Arabidopsis thaliana: one gene and its partners. The protein of the gene in region 4 interacts with the protein of the main gene of each other region in a pairwise test. Each region holds a gene or a part of one and is shown on either strand. Other genes may lie near its edges.

Evidence for each region.
Region 1: the proteins of MYB87 (region 4) and IDD1 interact in a two-hybrid assay, tested with the Arabidopsis thaliana proteins (one large-scale study listed by BioGRID).
Region 2: the proteins of MYB87 (region 4) and SEP2 interact in a two-hybrid assay, tested with the Arabidopsis thaliana proteins (one large-scale study listed by BioGRID).
Region 3: the proteins of MYB87 (region 4) and WOX14 interact in a two-hybrid assay, tested with the Arabidopsis thaliana proteins (one large-scale study listed by BioGRID).

Annotation. Positions count from the first base shown.
Region 1 is NC_003076.8:26,641,081-26,646,555, reverse strand, and holds IDD1 (C2H2-like zinc finger protein), read left to right. Parts: upstream 1-1,817; 5' UTR 1,818-2,672; coding exon 2,673-2,796; intron 2,797-2,887; coding exon 2,888-3,284; intron 3,285-3,368; coding exon 3,369-3,643; intron 3,644-3,935; coding exon 3,936-4,642; 3' UTR 4,643-4,970; downstream 4,971-5,475. UniProt on the Arabidopsis thaliana protein: Transcription factor promoting the transition to germination by regulating light and hormonal signaling during seed maturation. Acts as a positive regulator of phytochrome and/or gibberellin action.
Region 2 is NC_003074.8:463,750-469,146, forward strand, and holds SEP2 (K-box region and MADS-box transcription factor family protein), read right to left. Parts: upstream 3,403-5,397; 5' UTR 2,939-3,402; coding exon 2,754-2,938; intron 2,155-2,753; coding exon 2,073-2,154; intron 1,932-2,072; coding exon 1,870-1,931; intron 1,766-1,869; coding exon 1,666-1,765; intron 1,541-1,665; coding exon 1,457-1,540; intron 1,312-1,456; coding exon of another isoform or gene 1,281-1,311; coding exon 1,135-1,280; intron 899-1,134; coding exon 805-898; 3' UTR 530-804; downstream 1-529. Other genes in the region: AT3G02300 (Regulator of chromosome condensation (RCC1) family protein), read left to right, coding at 1-20, 132-180. UniProt on the Arabidopsis thaliana protein: Probable transcription factor. Functions with SEPALLATA1/AGL2 and SEPALLATA3/AGL9 to ensure proper development of petals, stamens and carpels and to prevent the indeterminate growth of the flower meristem.
Region 3 is NC_003070.9:7,180,611-7,184,614, reverse strand, and holds WOX14 (WUSCHEL related homeobox 14), read right to left. Parts: upstream 2,058-4,004; coding exon 1,853-2,057; exon of another isoform or gene 1,286-1,852; coding exon of another isoform or gene 1,267-1,285; coding exon 880-1,266; coding exon of another isoform or gene 863-879; exon of another isoform or gene 793-862; coding exon 749-792; 3' UTR 559-748; downstream 1-558. Other genes in the region: WOX10 (WUSCHEL related homeobox 10), read right to left, coding at 1-130; HMGB3 (high mobility group B3), read right to left, coding at 3,422-3,458, 3,546-3,625, 3,855-3,941. UniProt on the Arabidopsis thaliana protein: Acts redundantly with WOX4 downstream of the TDR/PXY receptor kinase to regulate procambial cell proliferation and differentiation in vascular tissue, independently of any role in vascular. Involved in the regulation of gibberellin (GA) biosynthesis pathway.
Region 4 is NC_003075.7:17,757,725-17,761,591, forward strand, and holds MYB87 (myb domain protein 87), read right to left. Parts: upstream 2,023-3,867; 5' UTR 1,803-2,022; coding exon 1,667-1,802; intron 1,571-1,666; coding exon 1,441-1,570; intron 1,332-1,440; coding exon 680-1,331; 3' UTR 508-679; downstream 1-507. UniProt on the Arabidopsis thaliana protein: Transcription factor that functions as a regulator of genes affecting cell wall organization and remodeling. Activates genes related to the primary cell wall and represses genes related to the secondary cell wall and expansins.

The DNA of each region.
Region 1 (5,475 bases), on a different chromosome or scaffold from region 4:
CTGATTTGCGTGGTCTTGGGGTTTGCCCTCTTCTTCAGGATTCGTTTTTATAAAATTACAATATACTGTAATATTGGTAAACCAGTCATTCCATCATTTTCATATTTTAAATTCATTAGTTTAGTCTTTGCCTCTTTTGCCACCATTTTCTCTAGGATTTCGTATGATAAAATAATAACATTATTTTCGCAACAAATATTAATTTGTTTCCTACAATTGTGTGAGACCACAAGATATTCATGTGTGCATTTTTAGACAAACAATTTGAACCATTTATTTTCCGAAGATAAAAGATATCAAATAAAAACTCATACTATACTATACAAAAAAATGTGTGGTAAATGAACATAACTCCCATGGGGACTACTCATTAAAAACCAGAGTCAGCCTTGTCCTTTTCAATAATTGGTCCAACACAGATATCACACGCAATAGCAATTTCGAAAACAACGTGAAAACAGAAAAGCAGTGCCCTTAAATCATAGTAATTACATTCATACAATATGTGGTTATTTGCAAGCATTATAAACTTTACATGCATAAATAAACAGAAAAGCCCATAAAGCATGGTTGGACTCAGGTTGAGAATACAAATAACTCGGCCCAAAAAGATCATTACGTTGTTCGGATTTGAATAAACGAAATCAATGTGTACGGATCAAGTGAGTCAAAGTATTTAGTTATAAGTCATAACTAATATACGTATTAAGCTCATTGAACAAACAAATACAAGATTATCAGGAAAAAAAAAGAAAGATAATTTGTTCAGATTATTATTGGATACTAGTGGTTGGAACTGCTATTTGGACCATATGTTAAGGAATTTGTATGCTGGCAGAATAGTGAGTTTATGGAGGGACCCATCTCAGCCTAAAATAATTCTTCCTTTGAAACTAACAAAAAAAGGGGTCCCAAATTAATTAATTTCAATGCTTGTAAAGTCAAATGCAATTTTTTCAATGGACATATATGTAACATTCGCTTTTTACAAAATTTGAATCCAATCTTAAGTGCAAATTACTAAGCAAAGATAAATTTTAATTCTTATAGTAATCGTTGTCGTTTTACATACTTTTACTCATAAATTAAACCTTTTTTATTTTAACTAAGAACGAAGAAATTAAGGGAAGTGGCGGTGTAACATATACACAGAAATCCAAGCTGGTTACTTTTCAATCCACCTGTCAGCGTCATGTTTATCCAACGGATGCAAATTCAGATAACAAAAGACACGTGTCAGAATCTGAGCTTCTCAGATGCCTACAAGGCAATGAAAACGTTAAAACAAAAGCTGAACGAATATTACCAAAAAAGGGTCAAAGTCAACAAAAACAGACGAACATTGCATTAAATTGGGTTATAGTTTCGTTAACCAGAAATATACACCCACAAAGAAGAAAACAAATTGCGATTTCGAACGTAATGCTACACGACAAATTCCCACAGTAAAAAATGTTATTCGTTCAACAACAAAATTTGGTTAATTATTTTACGGTCCGACAACGCGACGGTAATACCCTCCTTTGTCCCCGTCTAAGGACAGTGACAGTAAAATAATTTTTTTGTTTATTGACATGTTCATAAGCTAAGAATTTAGATTAATATTGGAAATACTAAAACCCAATCTTAAACCAAACACGGATATATCTTTTGACAAAATAAGTCGTTTAGCTCAAAATCTATATAGTAAACAATGACATAAAATAAATTTATAATTTCTACGCCATCGACAATATTAATAAATTACTTGATCGTTTGATTACGTAACATGTAGAGATACAATAGAAAAATAATACAAACCTGATATTGCATTCATTGGGTACTGCATATATTCACATGCCATTTTCTAATTTTCATCTGTGTACATCGTCTATGATATAATCTTTTCCATAAAGGTGAAAAAATTATTACAATATCTATTTACTCGTTTTGTTTGGTGCTTTTAACCTTTCTACACCGTTTTCAATTTAAAATCTACAAAAAGATTATTCTATTTTAATTATTTGCATGGGAGTCCAAAATACAGATTTAGATACTTGGAACTTGAAAGTCGACACAATTATGTATAAAAAATGTTTGTTAACAAAAAAAAAAGGGTGAAAAGTTGAGAGAAAAAAATTAGTATAATTGTCTCCAGAGAGAGAAAAGAAGAAGAAGGCTCCTTTTTCTTGGACAAGCCAAAGAAAAAGAAAAAAAAGGTTGAAGCTTTCACACAAAGTCTCACACACAAGCCGCCTTATTTTTTTTTCCGGTGATTCTTCAGAGAGAAACAAGCCGGAAGTAGTAAGGATAACTCGTCTCCGGTGAAATCTCAGCCGTTGGATCAGATCGGTGGACGGTGGATAAAAGATGCGTGTGGAGAAGAGAGAGTCTGGGTTAAATGATTAAGAGATTTCTTGGGTAATGAAGTTTTGATTTTTTTTCTTTTTCTTTTGGGGGTTTTAAATCTTTTTGAAGAAGAGAGGTCAGAGAGTGAGTTATCAGAAAAGTTTGGTGGCGGAAAGGGGAAAAGGAGATTTTTACGAAAAGCAGATTGACTGGTAGCTGAAGAAGAGAGAGAGAAAGAGAGACTAAACAGAGTAGGAGGAGGATGATAAACCCTAGATTGAGCTGAGCTGAGATTTGCTTCTTCCTTTTTGTGTTCAAAGATTGGAATTTAGTATCTTTGAAACATGCCGGTTGATTTAGATAATTCCTCTACAGTTTCCGGCGATGCAAGCGTCTCATCGACCGGAAACCAAAATCTAACTCCTAAATCCGTCGGGAAGAAGAAACGGAATCTTCCTGGAATGCCTGGTACTTCTCAAAAATCCAAACTTTTTTTTTTCTGTTTTTTGAGTTTGAAATTTTCTGTTTTTAGTTGTTCTCACTGATTGTCTAAATTCAGATCCAGACGCTGAAGTGATAGCTTTGTCACCTAAAACACTTATGGCAACGAATCGATTCGTTTGCGAAATCTGTAACAAAGGTTTTCAACGTGACCAGAATCTTCAGCTTCATCGTCGTGGTCACAATCTTCCATGGAAACTTCGACAGAGATCGACTAAAGAAGTGAGGAAGAAGGTTTATGTTTGTCCTGTTTCTGGCTGTGTTCATCATGACCCTTCACGTGCTCTTGGAGATCTTACTGGAATCAAGAAACACTTTTGTCGGAAACACGGCGAGAAGAAATGGAAGTGTGAGAAATGTTCTAAGAAGTATGCTGTTCAATCAGATTGGAAAGCTCATTCGAAGATTTGTGGCACCAAGGAGTATAAATGCGATTGTGGAACTCTGTTTTCTAGGTGGCGACAAATTGTTATAAACATATTCAAAGGTTTGATCTTTCTTATGGATTTTACTAACTTGTGGATTGGGTTTTGTTGCAGGAGAGATAGCTTTATAACGCATAGAGCCTTTTGTGATGCCTTGGCTGAAGAGAGTGCGAAGAATCATACTCAAAGCAAGAAACTTTATCCAGAAACTGTCACTAGGAAGAATCCTGAAATTGAGCAAAAATCTCCAGCAGCTGTTGAGTCTTCTCCGTCATTACCGCCTTCTTCTCCGCCATCGGTTGCTATAGCTCCGGCACCGGCTATTTCGGTTGAGACTGAGTCTGTCAAAATCATATCTTCCTCTGTTTTGCCGATTCAGAATTCTCCAGGTACATAATACAAACTCTCTGTTTGATGGCAAAATGTGGCAAAATCGCTACATGTAACAATTTATCAATTCTCTAACCGAAACAAGAACTCTTTAAAATAATCCAACTGTAAACTGGTCGGTGAACTTGGAGTTTAGTTGGTTTTGTCTGTAGCGCCGTTATATTTCTGATGTCTGCTAAAAAACTGAATCGTGTTCGTCGTCTTCCATAGCTAAGCCTATAATGTATCCATTAATTATAATTAAAGCCTCAAAGTTTATGTCCATGACTCATCATCTCTTTTTGTTTGTAGAATCTCAAGAAAACAACAATCATCCTGAAGTCATTATTGAGGAAGCTTCAAGAACGATCGGGTTCAATGTTAGCTCATCGGATCTAAGCAATGATCACAGTAACAACAATGGTGGATACGCAGGTTTGTTTGTATCATCAACAGCTTCGCCTAGTTTATATGCTTCCTCAACCGCTTCTCCAAGTCTATTCGCACCATCGTCCTCCATGGAACCCATCTCTCTCTGTCTCTCGACGAACCCTTCTTTGTTCGGACCAACAATACGAGATCCGCCACATTTCCTAACTCCTCTCCCTCCTCAACCGGCAATGTCAGCTACTGCATTGCTCCAAAAAGCTGCACAAATGGGTTCCACGGGATCAGGAGGTTCGTTGCTTCGCGGGTTAGGCATAGTTTCAACTACTTCTTCATCTATGGAACTCAGCAATCATGATGCATTGTCATTAGCTCCTGGTCTTGGACTTGGACTACCTTGTAGCAGCGGTGGTAGCGGATCGGGTCTAAAAGAGCTCATGATGGGGAATTCATCGGTGTTTGGTCCGAAACAGACGACACTAGACTTTCTTGGATTAGGAAGAGCTGTTGGTAATGGTGGTAATACCGGAGGTGGATTGTCTGCTCTGTTAACTTCTATAGGTGGTGGAGGTGGAATCGATCTGTTTGGATCAGGGGAGTTTTCAGGCAAAGACATTGGAAGAAGTTCGTAAGAGAGACAAAAGGCATGAACGTAGTAGACCAGTGTAGTATATAGTTCATCAAGTTTGTTTCAGGTTTTAGATGTTTTGGTATCTTGTTTTAGTGAAAGCTTTAGTTTTATTCCCAAGTGGGTTTTCTCTCAAGTACATAAATCTCCTAGCAACAACAACAAAATATATTGTTTTTTTTTTGGTGTGTGGTTTATTATAACTCACATGTTGTACTTTGAGAGATAATTTGAACTCGGGTTGTGACATGACAGCTAAATTATTACAGATGGTTACAAATCTTGGTCTAGTTCTGATGGAAGTCTCTACCATGTGAAAACAATCAATGGGGTTTGAAGTTTCTATTATTGGGTGTTGCTTGCTGTCTTAAAACGCTGAATCGAATTTTTGCATTAATGGGAACAATTCGTAGATGAGATTGAATTGACTTCTCCCAAAAGTGATAAATTTTTTGGAAGGTGGTGATATTTGTCTAAAAACTTGCAGAACTAAAAATAGTCTCAATTTGGCCAGATAATTTGAGACTTGACCAGTGTGATTTGATTGGAGAATCGACCAAAGATTTTGGATTTTGATGTTTCAATCGCTACGTAGGTCCATTATAGTGATAGAATTATCATGACAATTCAACCCACAAAGGCACTATTTTGTATTTTATTTTGGAGAGCAAGATAATTTATTTACCCACATCATATTTACTGTATTACAAAATCGGAAGTTTAACAGAAATCAGTAACTATGATTAGTGTGACTTTATCATTTGATCAATATTGATATGCTTGGACTCGAGCAATGATCGTGTAGTTTTCAATATTAAGAAAATAAAATTGGTTGTG
Region 2 (5,397 bases), on a different chromosome or scaffold from region 4:
CGCCTCTGCGAAAGACTGAGGTAAGCAAAGTTGAAGTTCTTGGACAAACTTCTTCATTACCCCTTAAACTTTGAAACTTAGAAAGAATCCAAGTCAAGTAAAGCTAAACAATGCGACTTGATGTGTTTCAGGGAGCAGTTACTTGATGGGGACTTTACTAATGGGGAAGAAGTATATTAAAAAGCACAATCCCCAAACTCCGAAACAATTTAGTATTGTTGGAAGTTATTACAATTGGTCCTATATTATTGAGAAATTGAAGAATGTAGCAAACCAGAAATTACATTCTTCAGCAGAACTCTCTGTATCATTTAACTTTTCAGGACAGATTTCATTACTTGTCCTGCCTCTGTAAGATCCAGATATTGTAATTATATGTTCTGTACACTAGAATCGAAAATAAAAGCTACATCTTGGTGGCATTGTGATCTGTTGAATGTCACTGTTAACTTGAGAGTTTATATGCCTTTGTCACAAGCTGTGTTTGCGATTGCGGTTAGCATCTAACCACGTCTTTTTGTATCATGCATAGACAGGATAAGTACTTCACCAGATGAGACATGGTCGATGTTAACATTTCACACATTATACAAACCATACATATATAAGCAATTACAATAGGCACAAACAAATCCTGAAACAGAAGAGAGATGTTGAAGGCTATTACAGCTATAGCCACTTGTGTCTACAAAAGCAAAAGTCTTGTGCAATAACATTATTATTCATATGCATAAGATCTAAGATCACACCACGAAGACCCCACCAGTACTTGCTTAAGATCTTTATTGGGGGAAGAAGTATCGCTCACAGCATCCAGCCAGGGATGTAGCCGTTTCCTTGTTGGGACTGACCTTGCACCGTCACAGCCATTTGCTCTGAGCACACTGGATGGCTATATCTGTTTGCAACACCACAACAACATAGTTTCGAAGTCAACAATAGAAACCCACATTTTCAAGTCTGAGATATTGATTTTCCATACTTCAGACATCAAAGTGCTGAATCCTTAGACTAAACAACACGAGTTTTAACCAAAGCCTCTATGAAACAAAGACAATGTTGGGCTTAAAGCAAACTGCTAACTGTTTATAACCTAAGTTGATGTCTTAAGGCAAGAAAAGTTGTTTGATTTACCCAATTTGCAAAGTGGGATCACATTCAAGAGATTGGTATAGTCCCTGAGAATGAGCCTGAGGATGTCCATAGGCAATATTCTGTTGATCACCACCTTCCCATCCTCCTCCTATATGGTGATGTCTCACGCCGATCATATCTTCCAGCTAAACAAAACACAATATTTTTCAAACTTTCCTGAAGATATCATAGAAATAATACAAAAGAAACATGTAGCAGTTGAAGAATGTGAAATTTAGACTCATATATATAAATTGGACTATTTAAAGTTTCCATCTATAAATAGAAACTGGAGGAGAGAGAGAGAAACATCATCATATACCTTCATTGACAAAGCTCTGTTGGCATCAAGCAAGATATGCTCCTTACCTTGAAGATCAGAGAGCTGGTCAAGCATATACTGTGTCTGCAAAAAAGAAGAGGCATTTTCAGATAACCTCACGCATCAAAAACATTTCATGCATGTGTCTCAGTCTATATATAGAGAAAGATTTGTGTGAATCTTTCAGTGTATGTACAGAAGTAAATCACCTTGATGCAGCGAACTTGCTTCAGAGAGCCGTCTAGTTGACGCTCAAGCTGCTCTAGCTCCTTTGAATTCAGAGGTCCAAGATCCTCTCCAAGAAGATTTCTGCAGCAACACACTTTCATGATCAATACAAACTATATATATATATATATATATATATATATATGCTGTTTATAAATGATCATCATCCACATTAATGTATATACCTCTGCTGACGTTGCAGATTTTCATATCTACCTTTCAGCTTCAAGTACTCTCTGTAGCTGTTCTGAAAATTGCGAAGATAATAGACAATTGAATATCTATGTAAGAAACTTTGAAGGGCTTTTGTCTCAAAATCAAACATTTTCTTTAGATAAAATTAAAAAAGGATAAATAATTAAGATCGAAGAGATGTTGGAGATTAAACCTCAAGCTCTTTAGCAGGTTTGTTGTTGACTTCAATGGAGCCATAGCTACACTTCTGATACCTTTCCAGTGTCTTGAGCATGCTGAAAGATCAAAAAACACAAATCAGGAGAAGAAGAATCTATAAATTTAATGAACAAACTAAAATTTTAAAAACTAACAAAAGAAAATTTATAAAAAGAAGATCCCTTAATTAAAAAGATATTAAATTCATGTGGTGCTTAAATGTCTGCATGAGCTTTAATTAGACTGGTTAATGCATGGAACCACTAATTATTCTACGTTGGATCTTTTAAATTTCATTGAAGACTGTGAATCTTTAGTTTACTTTACCAAGTTCTAATCACATATATATCCGTGTAGAGACAATGAAATTACATGATAATAATAGTATATCATTATGATACTTTCCTAGCTCCGATAAATCTAAAAATAGATTGCAATTAAATCCCTAAGAATTTGACATGATGATTAAATTAAGATCAGATCTCGAAATTCAATCACTTGAAAGTACTGAATTATTCTTCTATAATCAAAACCTAATTAGAGATCAGATTAAGAAACTGAAAATATATCAAGTATTTTGTTAAAAAGCAATCAAGAAAGATAAAACTCATCACAAGACTAGAAAAATGAAAGATCTACACACAGATCTAATAAGTGTATAAAGAAAGAGAAGTACTTGGAGGTGCTGCAGAACTCGTAGAGCTTGCCACGGTTGGAGAAGACGATGAGAGAGACTTCAGCATCGCAGAGAACAGAAAGCTCATAAGCTTTTTTCAGCAAACCATTTCTACGTTTAGCAAACGTCACTTGTCTGTTGATTTTGTTCTCTATCCTCTTGAGCTCTACTCTTCCTCTTCCCATCTTTCCTCACCCCAAAAAATCCCTATCTTATTTTCCCTCTTTTATAGCTATTTGTGTAACCTTATTAGGGTATGTAATGTTTTATCTATATACAGACACACAGAAACATGACTTGGGTATTGCTTTTTCTGGGGAAAGATCTTATCTTTTGGTGAAGTAAACCCTAGTTTTCAAGAACAAGAAAAGAAGAGGAATAGCTAGAGAGAAAACTTTAATTAGCTTTCTTTGGTTTTTTTGGTTGTGATTTGATATTAGGGCTCTTGTTTATTCTTTAGATCTTTTCTCTTTTTGAAGGGTTGTGATGAGATTGTGAATCTGAAGAAAAGTTTTTGTGAATCTATAAAAGCTATAAAGATAAGAAAATTTGTGAGGGTGAGAGATCATTAGGGTTTGGTGATACAATATCTCTCTCTCTACTTCTTTACTCTTTCTCTCTCTTCCATCTTTTACACAGAAAGTAAAAAACATTCTCACACCTTCTCTCCCAAGTGCGTGCCACGCAGACACCATTATTTGCCATGAGTAGTTAGTTGCTAGTTGCTACTAATTAAGAAAAATGAATTAAGTTTTTAAAACAAACGTTGTCTAGTTATATAATCCATGTCCATATACATCTAGATATATGACTTAGATACCAATGTTTCGACTCTTTTAGGTCTACACGTACGTTGCCCAAACTTCATATTTGAGACATCTTTATTTATTTGTCAACAGAAATATTGAAACATGCATGGATCTTGATATTCTAAAGGTGCCTGAATTAAAATAGAACGATAACGTTTTAAAACCTAATTCCCAATTTGTAGTTTATATATTTCTTGTTTGATCCATATTATTACAAGCCTATATATAGTGTATATAAAACTCAATTAAGCTTCAAAAAGTCAGAAAACTCATCAATAGCTCAAGTTCCACTAATTAATGCCCGAATTTAAAGTTCATCTCTATAGTTTAAAATTTGTTCGTAGCTAGATTTTGCATCTTGGAGTGGTTAGTTATGTTTATTAGACACTTGGAATGCTTTTGAATGTACAATGTCCGGAAAAAAAAACTAATACTGAAAAGGGGATTTGTCCAAGTGGTGGTAGATAGGAGGAGGCGCGTGAGATTGGGGAAACATTGGTTTCTTCTGCAATGAATGAAACGAAAGCAGCTATCATCATTTTCTTTTTCTTACTTCACAAGCCGCAGAAAAGCCTCTCCTACCTTAAAATGGACATGTACGTGTCGCTTTTCTATTGCTTCCTATCTATTCGACAACATTGAAGTTTTGTTCTATTACTTTCGTATTCAATTTTTAATTTTTGTTTGAGAATACCAATTTTGTTTTGGATCTAAACTCGTTCTAATGTAAAAAATAATAATCAGCCGCAGTATATCAATATGTTACATTGTATCTGGACGTGGGATATCTGACCATGTCTCCATGAATCCATGATGATTGACAGATTTATAGGGATAAGTATCCTGGTTTAGGTAATCCATAAGTATTTATGAATATTATGAAAATAAATTTTGATCAGAAAGATTAATTAGTTAAGACTATGATGTAGGGTATTTTAAAATATTGCTAAAAATTTTGCGCGCTTTCAGTATGTATATTTATTTTACTAGTTTTCGGTTGATATATGATTTCTTGAAGTAATTAAGGTTATTAGCTAAATGGAAGAGAACGTGAGGAATATAACACATATGTGATCACATACGAATATATGTAGGTTTAACTTAATTGGTTCGTTGATTATTCTTTATAAAAGTGAAAGTAGATTTAAATTTGTTTTCCAATCTTCTATGTTTGGCCATTGTTTGCAAGAGTTTTGGGAATTAAAGTCTTTTTAGGTGAGACCAAGAAGGGTAAAATATGAGTTTTTGGGTCTAGAATTTATAAGTTAAATAGTTTATTCTCATTTCTAATTATTGTTGACCAAAAAAAAAAAAAACTGTTTGGTTTTGAGGTTTAATTACTTATTGTATATGTACACTCTCAATCATAATGTTTTGGATATACTGTATAGTAAATTTTTAATCAATCGTGTTTATTAGTATATATGTTACAAGTTACACCATTCGTCGTCTCAGTATCACTCTAATATCATTCTGGCGGATTTACTACACACAATTATGCAATTGTAAATAACTAAATACAAATAATTTTCCTTCAGACAAAGAATCTACGAGCAAAGATCTTTCTTCTCAGGTGACGTAGCAAGTCCGTATGTAGTAATTTAGAGAGACAGCTAAAAAACGTTAAAAAGTAAAAAAAAAAAAAAAAAAAAAAGTCTAGACAGTGGAAATTACGTAATAGGATGGGTGATGTGGTTCGAAGTACACGTGTCGATATATGACTGAATAGTAAGTAAGCTTTGACTTTTGTGGTAGGGGGCTGGCCCAAAGGGAGGAGTCACCTTTCTAACAGTGACTTGTCCCTCTTGTTTTTTTTTTACCCTTTCAATTTGTTT
Region 3 (4,004 bases), on a different chromosome or scaffold from region 4:
GAGAGTTGTGGAGGAAGACGAGCTGGTCGCAAAGAACGGCGTAAATGGCGATTTGCTTACGAAGAGTCTCCATTTGTTCATCCGTCATTACTCTACTACCATACCTACCGTTTAGGCTCTCTTGCTCCATCTCCTCTTTCACCACTTTGCCTTCTCCTCTCTCCTTTTTACCATATGAAGAAGACAATGTGGAAGTGAAGGTGTTATGTATTTTTCTTTTTGAGAAATCTTTAGTTATTTGTTACCGTTAACTTTAAACAATTTATGGAAAGATGTCAAACTAGGATCAATTGTCTGATTTTTTTTCTTTTTCAATTACTAGTTAATTGAGGTAATTTTGGGATTCAATTGGATAAATAATTGATATATATTCTAATTGTGTGGTCATGTAACCAATATCCGATTTTATATGATTTTTTGTGTGATAACAATAAATTTAAAAACAATGAAAAAAGCTATGGTCATGACTAGGATCGGTTATTATGGTCAATTGCTTCTACTCTTTAGTGTCATTTGAATTGAGATTTACCGGTCAAAATATCAACCGAGTTTAAGATGGCATCACTTTTCTTTCTGATGCTGAAAAAGATGTGGGCATATATATCAAGTTGAGGAACACAAAATTATAATAAAATTGAAGACTTGTTGTTAATGTCACACACAAACACACACAATTCTATTTTATGAAAACAGAGTAAAAGAAAACAGAATAGATTAGAGATCTTCTTCATCGAAGTCTATACGAATTTTAAGTCTCCATAAATTTCCCTATACTCAACAAATGCTCAATCCCTGAAACCACAAAAAAAAATGCAAACTCAAACCAAAAATAAAAAATAAACCTAACCAAATGTTTAAAAACTCAAATGATCTTTTTACCTAAGTCAGGACTTGGGAAGAGTATATGCTCATAAGACTCTAATCCCCCTGAATCTCCACAACTCCTCCTTTCCTCCGTTGTCACCGCCACATCGTCAGCCTGACCATTAGCTGTCGTCGTTTGAGGCTGCTTTCGTTTGGACCGAGCTCGCCGGTTTTGAAACCAATTGTAGACATTTGTCTCCGTGATCTGTCCATGTTCAGACAGCTCCGTCGCGATCTCTCTAATCCTCCGTCGATTCGGTGTTCCACTTCCTTCGTCGTAAATGCTCTCAAGTATCTGAAGCTGTGTTGAAGTCGGAGTCCACCGATGCCTAGTCGATATCCTATGAGAACTTGACGATGCCCCCATCGGATCAAAGTATCCGCCAACCATTGGCCTCACTCCTTTTTTACACTCAATCATTATAAAAAAATAAGTGACGTGACCCTTAAGTTTCTTCCATGTACAAAATATGTATTATCAAAACCACAAAGCACTAATAACTCAAGCTTCTTAAAAATCGGCCACGACATGATAACCCTCAAATCAGCTTACGTCTAGAGAAAATAAACATTAATAATATATTGAATTGTTCGATCTAAGCAAATCATAAACTATATTAACAAATATCTTTAGCAATGATAAATCGATATCTAAGCGGTAGGTAAACTGTCTTCGAATGTCTAAAACATTATGAAATTTGATTCAAAGTTATGCATCGAACACTGGGAAAAAAAAAGCCTTGGATTTCGTTAGTTGTATACCAAACGCAAACACAATTTTCACATTTTTACACTAAAGTCTCAATGGGTCAAGTGTATTAATGGAAACAACGTTTGCATCGCAAAAAACGCTGCGTTTAAACACTTTCGTCTTACACACTTCTTCTACCGTATACAAAGAAGCTCATCAAATGGTCTCTTGTAAAAAAATCAAATACATAGAAAAGTGATTGTTGTTAATCAGGAACAAAAACAGAGAGAAGTGTACCTGATGAGAGTGGATGGTAAGAAGAGAGGGAGTTGTGGAGGAGGACGAGTTGGTCACAAATAACGGCGTAAACGGCGATCTGCTTACGGAGAATCTCCATCTGCTCCTCAGTCATCACTCTCCCACTATACGCACCGTTTTGGATCTCTCTATCCATCTCCTCTATTTCTTTGCTTTTCTCCTTTTCCTTTTTTTTTTTTACCATATGAACAAGACAATGAGAAAGTGAATGATATATATATTCTTTTGTTTATGAATAAAGGGATCTTTAGTTTATTTGTTACCGTTAAATCAAACACTTTTTGGAAAGATGTCTTTGTTTAATGATCAATTGGACCAATTTAATTTTTACAGTTACCAGGTTTATTACATTGGTTACATATTGAAAACATTGGAGAACTATGGCCTTTCACTAGGATAGATTTTGGTCGACGGTATTCACAATTTTTTGTTAGAATTTCAACATTTTAATCGAGTTTTACGGGTCAAGATATCTACCATTTGAAATAGAAAAATGTGCTAATCCAAAATATGTATCTAAGAAGATCTTAATCCTATGTGTTGATGACATAATAAGACACCACACTAATATATAAAAACAACCTAATTAAAACCAGGTATTGTTGTTACATCCGTAGAGGAACACAAACTGTGTATCTTACTTTATGTATATAGTGGTTAGGTAAAGCCGGAAGCAAGGCTTAATCACAGCATTATATAAAATATTATCGTTGTGACTTATGACTAATGATTAAACTATTGATGGAAAAAGAAGAGCATGCTTTCTTTCTTTTTCTAAGTTGATTAAGAAGAAAATGTACGAATTTGACCAAAAAGGTTCTTTGATATAAAGATGTTGACTAAAAATTTATAACATAAGTGAGACTATTCTGCTGCTAATACGCAGATTTTCACTAAAATCTTCACTTTTGTCAAAAATGATCAAATTTTTTACTTATTTCTTAAATCAAACGAAGTAATACAATCCAAAGAGAAACTCTTAATTAAGCTGATGCAAACCATTTTTTTTTTTCAAAAGATGAAAAGAGAACCAAATGATCATGGCGTTGGTAATTTGGAAAATTCAAGTATAGCCTCAAAACAATTTTACCAACCTGTGTCTAAAGTCAAATAACTAAATAAAAAGTGAAAACATGGTTTACTCTTTGTGGAACACATTGATTAAGAGCGTGATTATGCAATAGGACTCACAACCCCAATATGATTTAAGTAAAAACATGGTTTACACTAATATTTTTTTCAGGGGTATAAATCCTCATATCAACTAGAAACAAAGAGTCTAAAGAGCATTAAAACGTAGAGGAATTAAAAACTAAATCATTCATTATATAGAGCTACAAATCTCTCATTTCACCATCTAAACATTCTACATTCACTTTTTCCATTACCCGTAGAATCAGTGGGAGATAGGTAATAGTTTACTAAAACGAAACATCAGTAAGAAAAAGAAAAAGAAAAAAAAAAAAAACCACTTTAACCACCCGAATTAACATTTTAAGAGAGGAGATAAAAACATCCGAGAGATTCCTTGCAGCCTTCTATATTACGCTACCACAACTTCAACTTCTTAATCATCGTCTTCCTCCTACATCACATGTATAACAGAGTTAATACAAAGCTTTACTGATTCATACTACAGATATTTAGATTGCAGAGGTGTAAAATAACTTACCTCTTCACTGCCATCCTCAGCATCATCCTCATCGTTAACCTCTGAAACTGACTTGTCAGATTCCTCATCTTCCTTAGGGCCTTCCTCCTGAAACCACAACACACCACCATTATTCAAGCACCCCCATTAACCAAATTACCAGTTGCTTGTATCATCATTGTTTAGAATAAACATAACTCAAACTTCAATATATAGTAAACAAATTAAGAAAGCCTTGAATAGTGTGACTACTGACTAGTATAAAGAGAGTAGACAACTCAATAACGTGGTTAATATAAACATAACATAGCCTTCTATATGCAAATAAACAATTACCAATTTCTTGTTGTAGGCTTTCATGTTCTTCTCATACTCAACCTTGCGCTTGTCAGCCTTAGCCACATAAGGAGCCTTCTCCTGCATTATTATAACACCCACAGGTTAATAAAACGCTTGAAACAATTGACTTAATACACACAA
Region 4 (3,867 bases):
CCTACTCACTACTACATATAACATATGCAAACTAATAATAATATTATGATTTTTTGGGGGTTAAAATAGTATTATGGTTGGAGTTAAGAAACAAAAAAAGTTTATTATGAATGTATGATTGTTCTCAACAAAAGAACGCCAAATATTATGATACTTGTAGTTATTATAAAAGTTAATCATATTATTTTATGTATGTCGTCTATGAAACTAGACTAATGATGAACATCTTTGTAGAAACAATTTATGATCCTTACTTATTAGGTCTGATTGATGATCAAATTAATAGAACTGCTTTCTGTAAAGAAAGAAAATTGACAAGCTTAACTCCCAAACTTTCGTGGTATATATCTTCATTTTTGAGGAATTGTAGAAACATCAAGTCCTAGGATTCCCATTCTTTCAGCATCACCTTGAGCTCGATTAACGAGAGCATAATAAAGGTAGCTTTTTCGCTTAAATAAATGACCGATGATAAACATTAAAATAGAAATATAATAAAACGATATCATCATTTATTCATATTGCAAAGAGCAAAAATCTTTGTGTAATACACTTCTAGGGCTTTTCTTCTTTCACGCCTTCAACATTTTAAGAGATCAGACAAACAAAAAACATGATTTAACCTAAGTACATTGGCATATAATATCTGTATCTATTAATGATCTAATTAATCCATCATCTACTCATTATCGTATAGAGGATAATCAATGAAGGAGCTAATATCGTGATCCAAGTAGTTGTTATTGATCAGGATCTCGGTTCCGTCAAAGCCATTTTCTACCGTGTTGTTGTTGGCTATCTCATCAAATAGCTCGGCCTGGAAATTCTCAAACCCGTCCATAAAGAACATATCTGGTTGATCATGATCATTGTGATTGACGGTGTAGTGAGACATTTGTAAAGATGAATTATTAGTACCAATACTACTAGTACTGCTCATGGAGTTCAATGATGGGGATGCATGATGATGATAAGATGAAGCAGCTGCATCATAATCAACATCAAACAAAACCTTGTTTGGTTCCCAAGAAAATGGTTCCAATATCTGATTCTTGATCATGCTTTGTTCTTCCATGGCAAAAGCTCTCATTGATGGATCCACCACTTGATTATATAATGTTTGGTTCGATTTGGTGTTCTCATCATGAAAGATTTGGATCTGGTTCTGACTCGATGATGATGATGTTGTTCCACGCTCAAATTTGACATTAAGTTGTTGATGAAATGCCTTCCCTTGCTTGCTCAATAGCTTCTTCTTCAGCCTCGTGTTCCAATAGTTTTTGATGTCGTTGTCTGTTCTTCCCGGTAATTGTGAAGCAATGATAGACCACCTTCATTTTAATAAATATACACCAATTATTGATGCAGCGTTTAAATAAAATCATATCTATATCATATAGGATAATAGGAATATATAAGAGATCTAGCTAGGTAACAAACCTGCTTCCAATAGTAATGTAAAGGCTGCAAATGATGTAATCTTCTTCATCGGTGAAGCCTCCATGCTTTAAGTTAGGCCTCAAGTAATTAAGCCATCTCAAACGACAACTCTTCCCGCACCTCTTTATCCCTTCTCATCAAAATGTAAAATTGTTAAGTATTATATGTCACAACTATAAAGTATATAAAAGAATTTAAAATCAAACAAAGGATTTTATAGAAATACCAATTCTCTGAGGGAGGGAAATCCAGTTGTTGCCGGTGCCGTGTTTTTCGATGTAAGACTTAAGCACGGCATCTTCCTCCGTCGACCATGGCCCTTTCTTCACCGCCATCTTGTCGCAGCACGGTGCTCTTCCCATTTTCTTCTTATTCTTTTTTTTTACCTTCTTTCACTTTTAGATTTTTGGATTAGTTTTTATTTCCCTTCCCCTCAATCTTGTTCTCTAGGTATTTATCTTCTATAGTCTCTCCACTATATGTGTATATATATGAGCAAGTTAGCTTTATGAAGAATGATGACAAGTGGGTTTCTGTCTGTACATGTATGTATATGGTGAGAAAAAGGCAATGATATCAAGGGAAGAATCGGTCTCCTAACATTCAAATAAATGTGAATATGACTAAGAAATATATTATCGTAAGCAAACTTTATGAAAGTAATATTATGTTACAAATATTTCAAGACTGAAAAGAGAGGAAATGTAGTAAAGAGCCAACAAATGGGATTATTATTTGTCCGTGTGGTCCAGCTTATGTGATAACATATTTCAGTGTGAATTACTGTAATTTAATCCACCATGCACCTCTAACCTCCAGTTATATATATAAATGTACAACTAGTATAATGGAGTTGATAACTATAATGATTTTATCATATTTTAAATATTTATACTAGTAGTTTCAATGTTTAGAATATGCCTGATCCAGTATATTCAACGAGCTTTTGTGTAAGAAATTTAGGATTCACAACTTTGATTGCATTGGTTAGCAAGTAACTGTTTTTATTTTGATGCCGGTTATTAATGTAATAGTAAATTGTATTTGTATCTAAGCTACGAAAGTACGTAACTACGTATTACAAAATTTATACGTTTAATACAGTCTTTCTCCGTTTTAATTCTTTTAATATCGTAATTTTTTGTTGTTATCTCAATTCATATTATATAGAACGTTTACTTTCTAGAAAACTAAATGACGTTAATTATATATCGTTCTTAAATATTTAATATGTTTTGGATTATGTTTCCTAAGGTAATTATGGATTATATTTAAACTATCATAATCTTCTAGATGAAAAAGTAAATGGCTGACTTGACCTGAGACCGAGAGAATTAGTCTTGGAAAATTGTAGATAAAAAAAATTACATTCTTTATATATTCCAGTTTACGAAAAAAGTAATTGGTTACAACTTACAACTTAGAAGATAAAGTACGAGGAAATAGAAAAACGAAAATTTATGAAAATAACTTTTTCAACGCGCTAACGAGGAATCGGTCTTCTCGGCACGACGAGTACAAATATTTCCAAAAAAATGAGATTATTATCTATTTCATTATGTCTACTCTCATGATTAATTAAGAAATGAATAAGACAAATAAAGCGGGTTAAAACATTTGAATTCTTGACTTCATTATTTAAATCTTTTCTTACTAGTCCACGAGCCAATGCTTGGATCAGGTCTTTGAGACCAAATCTTTACTTTTTTATAAATAGAATTAAAGATTGATAAAGAGTCTTCTTCTTTGATTTTTCTTCTCAAAACGAAATCGATACTTGATTAAGTGGATATAAATACTTCTCGTACTTGAAAAATATTTAACATAATTGATTTGGGTTTTCACAATGTTTAAATGATAAAATACTATGGTATTTTTTTCTCGTGTAACCTAAAAAGGAGCAGAAAAAATAATGTCATGTATTGTTTTTTTCCGTTTTTTCTTTTTTTTTGGTTTTTTCACTTCTCAGGATCATAAGGTGGACACAACACAATGGGCTTTAGATCTGTAAAAACATAATTTAAATAACAGAAATTAAAAATTAAAAAAGCCCCATGCAAACAAAGGGAAATCCAGCCCATCTCGTAGAAAAGCTCATAGGCAACCCTAATGGGCCAGAAGTTCAAAATCAACAGAAGCCTATAGCCCAACCGAATGTGTCATATATTGTTGCTGACATGATAACCAATGTGACTCTTTTAATAAAAATAGTAAGAAAAGAGCACAGGGCCTGAAATCCGATTTTTTAAAAAATACAGTTTATTTTAATAGATTTTGTATGAAAATAATTTACTCTAAATTATCAGAAAGCTAAAACAGTAATTATTTTTTGTTGTTGGACAAAAACGTCTTCTACTGATTTTGAATACGATTTTTAAATTGTCGACCAATTTGTAGTTGCGACAATGTTTGACATCTTATATAATG